Arabidopsis thaliana: one gene and its partner. The protein of the gene in region 2 purifies or fractionates together with the protein of the main gene of each other region. This does not show direct contact. Each region holds a gene or a part of one and is shown on either strand. Other genes may lie near its edges. The genes, in order: AT3G02760 and TWN2.

Region 1 (6,364 bases), on a different chromosome or scaffold from region 2:
GAAAGAAACGCAACCACCAACTACAAACCCGTTCTCTCTTCTTCTTCGTCTTTCTACTTTTGTGTGTCTCTATAGAGAGAGAGAATGGAGAAGAGAGAGATAGAAACAGTAATGGAGATGGGTCACTCTCTCTAATAATAAAAAAACTATATTAATAATACATCCAAAAATTATGTTATCAGATTTTTTTCTTTCTGATGAATCATTATTTTATTATTTTTTACGTATTAATGTATGAAAATATTTATATTTTTTTTGTTTCAGGCTGGCAGAATTAACATGGGCTTGGATAAGACGTTTCTTACACATAATTTTCCGACATCCACTAGAATATCATCAATATATAATATGAAGAATTATTAAAATTGTGAAAATTCAATAAAACAGATCATTTATTTTTAGATCAAAATCATATTTAGGGTCTCACAATCAGTCAATCATCCCATGAGGGTGAGACTCTTTATCAGATTTAATTATTGTATCGCTTAGTAAACTATTGTATATAAAAGAATAACCACCGTGAATTCTTCTTATTTAAGGAACCAAAGAACTCATTGTTTTTTTATATAAATGATCAGTAGGGGATGGTAAATCGCCTGTTTGTTTCTTACCAAATATTTTCAGTAGTTGAATCGAAAATGAGTAGAGACAATAGTCAATGGAAACGTGAGATGTGAATACACAAGTGACCTTAGTTACTTGAAGCCACCACATGTCGGCAGAGAGGTACAGAAACCAACACGTACCATCTTTCTTCCTCTCATCTCATGCAAATGCGATCACACAGATCTGCAGATCACTTTTTTTATTTTTGGAGACAACCTTACCTGTTGTGTTTTATTTTCTCTTTTCGGTCTTATATTCTTCCACCTCATTTCCTACTTATTTTTTCTTTCTTTTTTCTGATAAGATCGCAGATTAGGTTATCAGGGATAAGGATTTTTTTGAAAGAAACGTAATTCTGATAATTGGCTTAACATTTACGTATATCTCCTCTAATTAGTTAAATACGGAAAACTTCATCAACATCAAAATCTCTAAGTTCTTGTCTCCACAATCATGAGTCATGCAAAACACCATTATCAAACAAACCAAGGAAAACAGCAAAAAAGAATGCAAAACACTGTGATTCCTTTTGTCTGGGCATCGAACCAGGAGTGAGTGTGTGTACCTTTCATTTCTTTTCAACGACTCAGAGTAGTTTCTTCAATTCTTCCACGAAACGATCTCTAGTACATGTTTGATCTTCTTTCTCTTCACTTCCCTTCTCGAGCTTCTTCAATGTCACAAAACTTCCACTGAGTTCTTTTTCGCCTACCATCACCATCCAAGGAATCCCTGATTCCTTTGCACGATTGAAATGCTTTTCTTTCCTCTTGCTCACTAGATACTCTGCGTTGATCTTAGCACCCCATAACTGACTTACCAGTTCTGCTGCTTCCGCTAGTTTATTATCCACCATTATACTAACCAACACCTGTGTCTCCGTTGGTCGAATCACCTATATTCATAGCAAATAACACAAACTTCAAAAACCATTCTTTTAAAACAAGGTCGACAAACAGCATAAGGGTTTGGCAAGTTACTTGTTTCTGTTTCTCGTTAAGTTCTTCCATTATGTTAAACACTCTCTCGATTCCCAGGCTCATCCCAACCGCAGGGACTTGCTTTGTTCCAAACATTCCTATAAGGTTATCATATCGCCCACCAGCACCAATTGATCCCACCTGCAGAAAGAAGAATTCAAAGGCCATACACTACAATTTCTTTAATTGAATTGCAGGAAGCCAAAATGCGGGATTTTACCTCTGCTCCTATACAAACAGCTTCAAAGATGACGCCGGTGTAGTAATCAAGACCTCTAGCTAGACTTAGATCAAAGACTATTCTCTCACTGCACTTTGATCTTTTAAGAGCTTCAAACATGATACTCAACTCATCAAGAGCTTCTCTTGATGACTGGTTATCTAAGAACTCACTCCCTTCTTGTCTCAGTTTAGACAACAGCTCCAAAGGAGCTCCCTTCTCCTTAACGAAGTTGCCAATTCTGTCTGCAATCTCTGAAGACAAGCCCTTCTCCTCCACCATTTCTTTCTTCACTTGCTCAAACGATTGCTTGTCTAGCTTGTCGATACTCGAACAGATGGTTCTGAATTTCTCAGGTGGTACTCCACATATCTCCAGCATTCCATCAAGCAACTTGCGGTGATTCAGTTTCACCTATTTAAACAAACCAGAATTAAGAACATAGCCAAAGAAAAAACCAACCAGGAAAGATTAAGACTTTCAACTTAAGTTATTACCTCATAATCTCCTATTTCTAACTCATCGAGGAGTTCAGTTAATATCTTGACAATTTCAAAATCGGGTCCCATTGGTTCGAACAAACCAGCGATATCAAAATCACACTGATAAAACTCTCTGTATCTCCCTTTAGATGGATTATCCCTTCTGTACACCTTTGCTATTTGGTATCTTTTGAATGATGTGATTCCATTCATAGCCACATACCGTGCAAATGGAACAGTTAGATCATATCGTAAAGAGCAAAGCTCTCCACCCTGCAATTAATAGATCCATATGAGCTCAAATTTTGACAAACAAATCATCACATAAACTGATGATATTACAGCAGCCAAGAAGAGTTCTACCTGATCAGCAATATCATAAACCAATTTCGAGTCTTCTCCGTACTTTCCCATAAGGGTCTCTCTCAATTCAAAAACAGGAGTATCAAGTGCAGTTGCACCATGCCTCTTGAAAACGTTTTGTATGATTGAAAAGGCTTTTTCTCGGACTGCCATTTGTTCTTTAGCGAAATCTCGAGTTCCCTGTCATAGAATGAAACAAATCAGAAATTAACTCTGAGGCCTAAACCTTCTCCATATACGAGATTGTAATTTACCTTTGGAAGCTTGGGAAGTCTCCTATTTTCATTACTTTCTACAATCTCTTTCACTTTATCCAACAAGCTATCAAAACTGCGACCCTCTGGGTTGAAAAGATTTAAGATTTGCTCCCCACATTGCATCAATGAATGCATCTGGTCACCATCACTTGCTGCGTCATTACTCACCAATCTATCTTTGATAAACTGGATAACTAGGCTTGTCCCCTTTCCCACAACTGCTTTTTTCTCATTCTTCTTCTTTTTCTTATCGGTCTTCGACTCTTCTTTGTCCGCATCTCCGCTCTTCTGAACAAACAATTCTCCACCAGCAAGAGCAAAAAAGGCAGCAACTGCCTCCAAACCAACAATTCTCCATACAATTCCCAGACACTCATTCAGTTTGTGAGCAAACCTGCAGTAATCCTCTTCCAAATGAGCAGTATAAGCTAACTTATAGCTATTCTTTAGATTCTCATTCTCAACACAGATCTTTTCAGATAAACATTTCTTCAGATTCTCATCCACAATCTTCTCAAAACAAAGCTTAGCACGAAGGAACGAACACACTCCCAAGTTTTTAATCGCCGTTAACAAAGGTAACAATGTTGTTCCTAAAGCCTCACCAATCCCAGTGTTTCCAGACCCAGTTTTGCCTCCTTTAACACCGGAATTCAATTCTCTCCTAGCATCCGCGTGCACGCTTTTCACCACATACCTGAATTTCCCATGAATCCAAGGGATTTTCGAAATCTCTTCTATTTCTAATTTCCCTGTACCTTTATACCCGTTAAGCAAAACCTTGAGATCACCAGCAACACCAATCACATCTTTATCACCATTCCCATCTCCTGAATCCAACAAGCTAAACGAAGCTATATCAGCCTTTGTAACCTCACAACTCAACGCAGCAACAGAATCCACAATCTGTGAAAGAGTCGTCGATTTGTGATCTATAATAGAACAAATCCCAATCAACGAAGCACACGACTTCTCCAACACAATGTTTTCCCCTTCTGTCACATCAATCTCACCCAATTCCAAACTCTCAGCCTTCAAATTCAGAATCTCAACAATCTTAAGCGGAAGAACAGAACGAGCGGTGGATGAAGAAGGAGGACCAGAAGTCGACAAAATAAGCTTGTTTAAGAGAACAGCCAGAGAAGCTCGAGTTTCTTCGTTCGTTAACCCTTGAGGGATACCAAAGGAGCTCCTTTTGATCGATGGAACGTTTCTAGTGGAGAATCTCTCGATCGCAGAAGAGTCAATTCGAACATTAGCGACGCCGGAAGCAACATTGTAAACGGAGGAAGAAGATAAAGAAGAACCTTTCCCTCCGAGAGTGATGGACGATCTCTCCGCCGCCATTATCACACACAGAGCTGAAGCCGGAGTGATTAGGGTTTTCTGTCTTTCGTTGTGTTTGACCTAAAACGAAGCACTGTGAAATTGCAAGAAGGCGGATTTAGAAAATTGGTAAACTGCAAAATGACCCTCGAAGTATCCAGTTATTGGAAATTGATCTACGAAAAATGCTTGTATGGATACTTCAAGGATCTTTTTGCAATTTTCACTTTACGAAATGTTTTTTTTTATCAACTCGAAACGGATTCAATAGTTCAATAATCATATTCAAAGAAGCCAACTTTTACTCTGATAGCCATTACAGAAACACAAAGCACAAAAGTAGTAGCTTACAGATTTTAACAAATCAACAACATCACTTGTGTCCTTTTAAACGGATAATTCAATCTGAGAAACAAGGATACCATCAGTATCTGCATAAAGCCATTCGCCATCGCATATCCGAGTGCCTGCAATGTTCAAAGAGACTCTTTGTTCACCAAGTCCTTTCTTACTAGCCTTTATTGGATGAGAAGCTAAAGCTCTCACTCCAATGTCGCAACCATTGATCTCATCAACGTCTCTGATGCATCCATTCACTATGATCCCTGCCCATCCGTTGTTCTGCGCTTGTACGACCGGGTTTCCTCCTAGTATCGCACAGCGTAAACTCCCTCCACCATCCACCACAAGAACTCTACCATTGCCTGTTTTAACATTTAAAACATTATTGAGCTTTTGATGTGAATGCTACAGAGAACAGATTGGTTTATTGACTCGGGTTTTTGAAAGACCTATCTCGTCTCTAGTATTCAAGAACTTGATTAGCAAAGTGACTGAAGAAGTATATAAACACTGAGCAGTAGTTCTAAATCATAGAGAGATGATCTTAAGACTTCTTCAAACATAGTTTCAAGCAAAGAACAATTGAAACTATTTGACAAGTAAGTAACACAAGAATTGAATCTAAAATGTAACAATACCAATAAACCATGTCAAAGATACTCTGAAAGTTCATAGCTCTACGAGTAAAGTTTCAGTCTTTTGAATTTTATAAGCAAGAATCATTAATACCTTTCTCTTCGAGGAAGTGACGGATTAAGCCATTGTCTTCAAAGACTTTAACAGTAACTACTGGACCTGAAAATATTTGACGACGACCATAAATCTGAAAAACGGGTTGCAGAGCTCGGAGCTGGCCACTTCGAATCATCTCTTGATTCGCGTCACACACTTCCGCAGTGGTCACAAACGCCATTTTTTCTTCTCACCTGAATCAAGAATTATGATCAAAACAAGTAATCTGGGGATTTGATTATATGAGATTTACGAGAAATTACTCAAACACAGAAAGCAAAAGACAAATCGAGATTAGTCTAGATAAAGTGATCATATATATTCTCAGTCAATCAATCAAAACCCAGAAGGAAAGATACACACTTTTCATTCAATTCACAAGAAAACTATTTCAAAATCCATCTGGGTTTTGATCGAATCTTATTTCATTTACCTGGAATAGAAGAAACTAGGACGAAGAAGAGAACTCTGTGTGCGTAAATCTCTGAGAAATGAAGTGATGATAATTTAAAGGAGAACAAAGTCATCAACATACTTGTTTCGGTCGTTCAATAATATTAAATTAGTGACTTTTAACTTTACTTAAATCAGATGGAAGGTGGGTTGTCGTTAAGCTTCGAAAAAAGGAATCTTTGCGTTGCCTTTTCTCTGGTTTCGACTCTGTTTCCTTGTTATCCTTTTCCTCGACGCTTTTTGTACATCTCACAAACTTTGTGACATTCATTCATTAATTAAGATAAAAACGAAAACTTTATTATTGCCTGAGGTGCTTGGAAGTTTTGTAAGTGTCTCACATATCCCAAATTATTATCATCGAAAAGATAAAAATGATGAAGAGAAAGTTGATTGATTTAAAAACTTTAAAAAAAGATGTTCAGAGTTTGTGGATGGTTTTCATGTCTATAGCTTCAACCAAAGTTCCTTTCTCAACATGATCCCACCACTTCATCAAGAAATTGTCCACCACCAATCTGAACCATGGTGACAGTTTCAAACCTTCCTCACCTGCATCTGCTTTCTTCACCAGCTCCTTCAGCTCTTCCCGGCTCACATACT
Region 2 (8,265 bases):
GTGCAACAATAAACAAAGAACAATTAAGTTGTTCATGTTGACCAAAACAAATGGTGTTTGGGAATAATCTCTTCAAAACTAATATCAACAGTCTTCTTTTCAGAGATGTAGTAAAAATAGTGTTATAACTCAAAACTAGTTCACAATAACATCATCAGACATAGTTTCTTAACCTGAAATATTTCATTTGTTGGCCTTCGCAGATAGAAACTGTGACTCTCTGTGTCTCAGTTCTTCAGTTCCATTTATTGATTTCCTGAATTGCTTGTTTCTGCAGCAAGACGAGCACTTTCCTTCTCAAAGAAATCGAATTCTTGGAGTATCTTAGCAAGCTTGTTTGCGTTGTCTTCTTTTATATTCGCAGGGACCTTCTCTTCGTAAGTAGACACACTCATCATCTTCTGCAACTTCTCTTTTTGTCTGATGAAACAAGAAATAAAAATGTCAAAGGAGGAAATCTCAGGAAACTAACATGAGATTCAAGCATCTTGTTTTGATTCAGTGACGGGTCTAAGGACTTACTTTTGTAGTTCACCAATCTTGTTTCTGATTTTTTCTTGTTCAGCTTCTGTGTTAATGGCTCCGTCCACTTCAAGATATACTTTGAGGTTCTCGTTCACCGTCTCAACTGAAGATCCAGGTGGTGCTGCATGTTGTCCTTTTGACACAACCTATACCAAAGCCCCATAGAAACTCAGAAATGATACACGAAACAATAGATAAACCGTAAGACATAAATTGAAGATAGAATTTACCTCTAAGGATGATAGATTTGCAAGGGTTCTGATCTCCAACTCGTGAGACTTAACAATTTCAGATGTTACGTTGTTTTCACACAGAGCAAAAGCAGGTAACCTGAGAAAAATGAATAAAACTATTAAGTAACCTTTTTAGTGAGATTCATTTTAAAAAAATGCAGGATGGTTAATGAAATGTCTCAAAGTGTTCCTCGAATGGGGCTTTAATCATATACTCAGACCTTTCGTTTTTCTGTTTCTCCAGCAACCCTGCCCTGAGTGCTCTCATGCATTTCACAGTTGCCAGAACGGTGTCCATTTCGCTCTCCACTTTCTCATTTGACCAGTTCTGGGTTCACAGCATCAGAATAAAAGAGTTATAAACGTGAACAATTATGACAAGTTACAAGGAAAATCCGAAAATCTTACTCACCTCTATGGCAGATGGGTAGTCACATATCATGATAGAAGCCTTTCTTTCTGTGTCTTTGGGTGCGGGAAGTCGTTGCCATAGCTCTTCAGTAACAAAAGGCATAAATGGGTGAAGCAGTCTCAAACCAGTCTCCAGACTTATCCAGAGAGCATGTTGTGCATGAGCCCTCTCTGAAGCAAACGTTGGGTTGTCACCAGCAAAATAAGGCTTAATTGCTTCAATGTACACATCACAGAATTGGTATTGCCACCATGCATATATTGTGTTGGCTGCATCCGAGAACTCAAATGCATCTAGTGACACCACTGTCTTTGATATTGCCTTATTTAGAACAGAGAGAATCCATTGGCAGCTGAAAGGCATGGTTTCAGGACTTAGAGTCTGCGGAGGAGTATAACCATCGCCAAGCTTCATCATTGCAAATCTGACGGCGTTCCACAGTTTATTACACCATTGACGGTAACCAACAACTCGAAGAATGTCCAAGTTAATTTTATCAGACTAGAAAAGAATCAAGAAACGCAATTTTTAGTTTATAGAACATACACAGAAGGAGCTTGTTAGGGACGGTGCAATGGATAGTACCTGAGCAGTGTAAGAGACGAGCGCAAACCGAAGAGCGTCAGTGCCACATTCAGGGATACCATTTGGAAAGTCCTTCACTTGTCCTTCTTTGGCAACAATCACCTCTTTTGGATCCAAGTTACCCTCTTCTAATCTCTTATGAAGACCTTCAAGAGTTACTCCGTTTATTACTTCAAGTGGATCAATGACATTTCCAAGAGATTTTGACATTTTACGCCCATGTGCATCACGTATCATAGGATGGAAATAAACCTATAGCAAAGACATAAAATATGTTTTTTGCATATAAGTACCGGTCACAGTGATACTTGCATCTAAAAGGAGGTGTGATCCTTGTTTGACTTAAAATGTACATGTACCTTACTGAATGGAACCTCACCACCTAGTTTCATTCCCATCATAACCATACGAGCAACCCAAAAAAAGAGGATATCATGTCCAGTTTCAAGAACAGAAGTTGGATAGAAGGCTTTGAAGTCATCGGTTACATCTGGCCATCCCAGAACAGATAATGGAAAGAGCCCAGAAGAAAACCATGTATCAAGTACATCAGGATCTCGAGTGAGTTCAAACTTCTTCCCCAAAAATTTCTGAGCAGCCTCTTCTCGAGCATCGTCCTCAGTTCTAGCAACAACCCAATGGTCACTGTATGCACCAACCTCCTTGAGCTGATCCTCCTCTAGAGTGGCATACCATGCTGGTATTCTGTGTCCCCACCAAAGCTGTCTTGAAATACACCAGTCACGTATGTTCTCTAGCCATCTGTAAGGTAAAGATTGTTAATAGATGGTGTAATGACATCTTAAACCGCCATCGCAGCTTATCCATACAGCTGTGCTGTAAGAGCTTCTATAGATGGGGTAGATTAAGAAACCATTATAGAGTAAAAGATAAATGAAAGAAACCTTCTCCATTCTGCTGTGTACTGCTTTGGTACAAACTCGAGTTTCTTGTTTTCATCAGTGATAGCAACATCAAGAGCCTCCTTTCCAATCATGCTGCAGTTAACGTACCATTGAGGCTTTATCATAGGCTCAATAACATCATTAGTTCTTGAGCAAAGTCCAAGCCTCATTTCATTGTTTTTGGCACCTCTGTACAGCCCCTGAATAATATATTGACAAAACAGTTAAAATCTACAAGACACTTACAAGCAACTACCCATAGTGTAACAAAAATTCTCAAACCAACAATCAAAGAAAAATTATATATGTTATGTGAAGAGTTAGAGAAAGTTACCTGCTTCTGCAGAGCTTCAACAACTGCCTCACGAGCTGCAAAGCGTGGCATCCCTGCGAAGTCAGACCCACCATTTGTGTTGATTTTTCCATCATCTGTGAATATATTTATAAATTCCAGCTTGTGGCGCTTTCCAACCTCACAGTCATTGGGATCATGGGCAGGAGTAATCTACAAAATAAGAATTAAGTAACTTTGACACAAGAAACACAACTAATAGGGGCAGAAACCCAGCATCAAATATATAAGGTAGAGGTATACCTTAACACAACCAGTACCAAAATTTGGATCAACAAGTATTCCATCACAGATAATAGGTAACTTCCGCCCATTAAATGGGTGCACAGCAAATTTCCCATGAAGATGCTTGTATCTTGCATCATCAGGATGAATAGCAATAGCAGTATCCCCAAGCATCGTTTCCACCCTGGTAGTGGCAACAATTACCTCTCCCAAGCCTCCCTCCAGAGGGTAAGCAAACGAGGTAAGAAGACCAAATTCTACTGGCTTCTCATAGCCAGGAACTTTTAGTAGCGTTTTTTCTTTAATGTCGATATACTCAACCTACAGATATTAGACACTCCACATAAACAGGATGCCCTCCAACAATCTTAGTCTAACAGTTGCTGCTGACTTACCTCAACATCAGATATGGCTGTTCTCAAAATACAATCCCAATTAACAAGCCGAATATCCCTGCAGAAGCCATGGTATACCTTCAGTCAAATGTTCTTTCTTACAACAAGATAACTGAAAAAGGTAAAATGGTCCTATAATCCTAATTTCGGTATATTACTGTTTCCATCTACAGGAATTCTATAGCTTGCATCAAAGAACAAAGTCAGACTTAAACATACCTATATATAAGCCCTTCTTTGTATAACCGTACAAAGGCCTCAGTGACAGCTTTTGATCTTTGCTCGTCCATTGTAAAACACTATAAATTTACAGGCCGAAACACATCCGTAAGATGGATAGCCCAGGGACACAAGTGAAGATAAAAAATATCATTTACATATATGTTCACCTAGTGGCGAAATAAATAAAACAGCCAATTTTCTATAACATTTATCCAAGAAAGGTCAAATTACTGGATATTACCTCACGAGACCAGTCGAGAGAAGCTCCTAGTCGCCGTAGCTGTGTTAGAATTGTACCGCCGTACTGGTTCTTCCACTTCCACACCTTTTCCATGATCACAAGCAAAACAAGAATTTTTGTATAATGAAAAAAGGAAACTATTCATCAACATATTTTAAATTTTCAACTCACTTCCTTTACGAATTCTTCACGGCCAACATCATGCCTAGTCATGCCTCTATCACGCATGATCTTTTTCTCGACCACCACCTAGAATGTACATCCAAGTAAAAAAAAAATATACAATGTGTATAAGATAAAGCTACAAGCCTGTAGCCCAACGAGGATTCACTCTATAGGCTGAAACTTCAACTAATATGGGAGATGAGATTGGGGCTCACCTGTGTAGCTATACCAGCATGGTCAACCCCGGGTACCCACAAAGCATTATACCCAGACATTCTCTTCCAACGAATAATTGTATCCTGCATCAACAAGTATTAAGCCGTTGATCATCGGGAGGAACAATAGACAGCTATAGCACCAAACAATATGCTAATGAAACCTCAATTGCAGATGTAAGCGCATGGCCAATATGCAAGGCTCCAGTCACATTTGGAGGAGGAAGAACCTGCAGAATCAATCAAAGGATTAAAGAAACTTTAAAAATAGTATTAATAATTTCAGAAGCTCAAGATTTTCTCAACTCAATTTGGTTTTCACAAATTAAGTATTCGAGAAGACAATAAAAAGAAGGTCGAATCCAGAACGAGCATGAATTTAAGAATCGGATTAGGCCTTACAATTACAAAAGGTGGCTTGGAACTCTTAGCATCCGCCTTAAAAAGGTCAGATTTCTCCCACCAAGCATACCATCTGACCCAATTACAGAATAACAGAGATTATCTAGAGGAACTTCTTGGGATAAATGTCAAAGAAAAAGATCTACACACTTACGATTTCTCCACGGTAGCAGGGCTGTATTGTTTGGCCATCTGTGAAGAAAGCCTTTTCCTCTCTCCAAGAGGAGTTTCAGGGTCCACAAAATCCTCAGGATTCTCTTCTGACGCATCCCGTTTGGAACTCTTCTTTGCGCTCTTTTTAGGGACATTAGTTCCATCTTTGGCCTGTTTTGCCTACACGAGAAGCACACCATGATAAATATTTCAAGTTACAGGGAAAATTAAGGATTTGGCTGGCACATTACACATACATATGAAGCAGGAACCCGAAATGAATAATTGGAGTTCCTCAGAGCTTACCTTCAGTTCAGCCAGCCTCTCTTTCTCCAAAGCTTTTTGCTTCTTCAACTCCTTTTCTTTAGCCTATGAATAAATTACAATTGAATTCGAACAAAATATAATGAAATTAATGAGATTGAAAAAATCAAAATTGAGTCAATATTTTACTTAAAACTAACTCCCACCACACAAAGAAAAATGAAATGTAAGGCGTATTCAAAAGTATACAACTCTAAAACAACACCAAAAGAAACACAAACTATGATTATACGAATTTGTGCCAAGTACTCAAACTATTAAATGTAGAACACTTCTTCATTCTGATATAGTGAAGACGGTTTCTCAAACTTTTCTATCTTAAAAATAACAATACGATCTCATCAGTTCCATTTTCCAAATGGGTAATCCATAGTTATCACTATCCAATCTCTATTAGCTAGTCCCATGATTGAACAATAAACTCAATCACACTCGTCTATGAGATTCTAGATATCAAAATTGTTAAAATCAAGCTCAAAGAGAACAGCACAACCACGTTGAATCGACTCCAGAAAACGTTTCTGAGAAAAATGGGGAAAAAAATCACAAGTCAAACCTTCTCTTCCTTCTTCTTTTTCCGCTCAAGCTCCTCCTCTGTCAGGATCTTCTTCTCTGATTCCGACTACGAAATTCAGAAAACAAACATTCAATTCTCAGACTTAAACAAATAGCAGCAGAATTTCGAAATCCGGTGGGTAATCCTAACGGAGAAACAAACAATCGGTGATTACAAAATCGTACCATTGTTCTGGAACCGTGAAACGAACGAACTAGCTGATTCGTAAGCGTCGGAGATAAGAAGCTGGAGCGAGAATGAGTAGCTGAACAACAAGATACAAATAACGGCTTGGCTCTTCTTAGGAAGAGTAGTGACATAGACAAAAAACCTGCTAGGGCTAATTGAAATGCTCCTTTTTTTTAACACTATACAAAAAACATTTTTAATTTTAAAAATTAGAAATTAAACCGGAAAAAATTAGAGATTTGGGTTACAAGTTGGGTATTTCGTTTTAAGCCCAGTGGGCTTGGAATTACGACGGTCAATACTCAATATATATTTCAAGCTGTTCTCGAATCAACGAGTGTGTGATTTCTTATCAAGATACGTAATATAATATCTATCGGAGAGATGTATAAAAAAAGGTTGAGAAAGAAGCCACAACTACATTCAACTACGTACTTCAGATCAACTGTCAACAAAAATTTCCTTCACGTCACAACCAGAGACATGGTTTTGTTTGGTTATTACATTGACCTTCTCACACTGTCTAATACCAGAGAGATGACATTGATGGAGAAGAAGGGATGAAAATAGGAGTTTTTGTGGTGTGAGTGGCTCAGCTAATGATCATCTTGTTGAAGAATTCAGCTTGCTCAGGGAAGAATTCCAAGAGCTCGTCTTTGGTTACCCACACAAAATCCTCGCAGTTGCTTATGTCGTATTTCGATGCTGCTACTACACTGCATTTGAAGAAGAACCTCTACACAACAACAAAATTCAGTTTAGAAATCTTGAGCTTCTGAAATTACTAATACTAGTAAAACCCCGTTAACGTTCGTTCTTGCCTTGTAAGATGGCAAATCAGGCATTTCTTCTGTAGGTTGTATGGCCATGTGAGCCATTGGAGCATTTCCAACAAAGTATGTGTGAGTGAGGTCTCCTACGACTGACTTCAAAGCAGATTCCGCGCACTGCAAATACCGAATTTACATATTAACAATAAGCACATGAATGAAATTTTATGGTCTTGTGTGTTGAAATAGAGGCATCAAATCAAACAAACACCTTGCGAAGAGTTGGCTCAGAATCATAGACTTTCTCTGGGAAGTGCCAAACAGGTTTGTCACTAGTAGCTCCAAATGGCTTGCCGAATATGAGAAGATACAACTTTTTGTCTAGGGCTCTATATAATGACCTATAATAGCAGCATTTTCCCAAAAGTAACTATCAATCATCAACCGAAGAGAAATACAACAGGCCAGGAAGCTTTAAGAGGTGCCAACAACTTACTTCCTATCGTTATTCTTGTCAGCCTCTGTAATTCTAGGAGCAGGTACATAGTCCATTTGGTATTCACCCTTGGCTCTGTATTCACGTATCATAAGATTAACCAAAGACGAAATGAAATTTTCATAGAAGCTTCACCGCACTTGGAGAAAAATGAAACTGACCTATACAGAACCTTCACTATATATCTATGAGCATGTAACACTTCTAATATAGTTCACTTCAGGCAAGGTAATTCTGCTGAAGAATTGAGCAACAATAACTCACGGAGCTACTCGGAAAAACTCCCAATCTAACATTCTTTGCTATTGTCATAATAACTAACAAGGATGACACAAAGTTGAATGCAGAAGAAACCTTCGAGCAGATTATATGCTTGGACACATGATGATATCAAAAGAAGATTGAGAAAAACAGAAACTTTTACCTGTTCTTAGCAATGTCTAAGAACTCATCGGGATATCTACGACGAAACTGCTGTTGCCAATTGAATCTGCCATAGAGCAACAAAATCAAGACCAAAACGTGATCAAAATCAAAATGAACCAGAGAGTAAAATCAAAATTTCGGTGCTCAATGACTCAAATCTTATTCATTCCGCAACATAAAAAAGCAGTCTTTGAATCACACAACTATACTTTTCCCCCCATTTTCTCTCAAAATCTCACCATTCCTCAACCAAAGAAAAAACAGAACACAAGCAAAGCGATGAGAGAGCTTACTTGAACTCCTGGAAAGCGTAAACGGCAGGATCCGGTTTGGGTATCACAACGCGCAATCTCTCGAAAAGCACCGAAGCTACGATCTTATCAGAGCTCGTGCAAAACCCTCGCCTGCTCTCCAAGAGAGGCTTAGCTAGTAGCCGCAAAGATGATCTCGGCATTTCTCAATCTCACAACCCAG

The links.
Region 1: the proteins of TWN2 (region 2) and AT3G02760 fractionate together in Arabidopsis thaliana (co-fractionation; one large-scale study listed by BioGRID). This does not show direct contact.

What each region holds. Positions count from the first base shown.
Region 1 is NC_003074.8:596,396-602,759, forward strand, and holds AT3G02760 (Class II aaRS and biotin synthetases superfamily protein), read right to left. Parts: upstream 4,389-6,364; 5' UTR 4,256-4,388; coding exon 2,906-4,255; intron 2,832-2,905; coding exon 2,652-2,831; intron 2,562-2,651; coding exon 2,304-2,561; intron 2,221-2,303; coding exon 1,807-2,220; intron 1,728-1,806; coding exon 1,587-1,727; intron 1,502-1,586; coding exon 1,193-1,501; 3' UTR 710-1,192; downstream 1-709. Other genes in the region: AT3G02770 (Ribonuclease E inhibitor RraA/Dimethylmenaquinone methyltransferase), read right to left, coding at 4,622-4,938, 5,306-5,489; IPP2 (isopentenyl pyrophosphate:dimethylallyl pyrophosphate isomerase 2), read right to left, coding at 6,183-6,364.
Region 2 is NC_003070.9:5,008,257-5,016,521, forward strand, and holds the start of TWN2 (valyl-tRNA synthetase / valine-tRNA ligase (VALRS)), read right to left. Parts: upstream 6,278-8,265; 5' UTR 6,231-6,277; coding exon 6,096-6,230; intron 5,977-6,095; coding exon 5,911-5,976; intron 5,400-5,910; coding exon 5,337-5,399; intron 5,211-5,336; coding exon 5,032-5,210; intron 4,951-5,031; coding exon 4,878-4,950; intron 4,706-4,877; coding exon 4,640-4,705; intron 4,560-4,639; coding exon 4,476-4,559; intron 4,345-4,475; coding exon 4,267-4,344; intron 4,180-4,266; coding exon 4,096-4,179; intron 3,932-4,095; coding exon 3,852-3,931; intron 3,691-3,851; coding exon 3,633-3,690; intron 3,559-3,632; coding exon 3,256-3,558; intron 3,166-3,255; coding exon 2,995-3,165; intron 2,861-2,994; coding exon 2,661-2,860; intron 2,518-2,660; coding exon 2,115-2,517; intron 2,008-2,114; coding exon 1,756-2,007; intron 1,672-1,755; coding exon 1,171-1,671; intron 1,087-1,170; coding exon 980-1,086; intron 856-979; coding exon 756-855; intron 672-755; and 4 more. Other genes in the region: decoy, read right to left, coding at 6,692-6,835, 6,921-7,046, 7,141-7,270, 7,366-7,440, 7,790-7,855, 8,085-8,245. UniProt on the Arabidopsis thaliana protein: Required for embryo development and seed viability.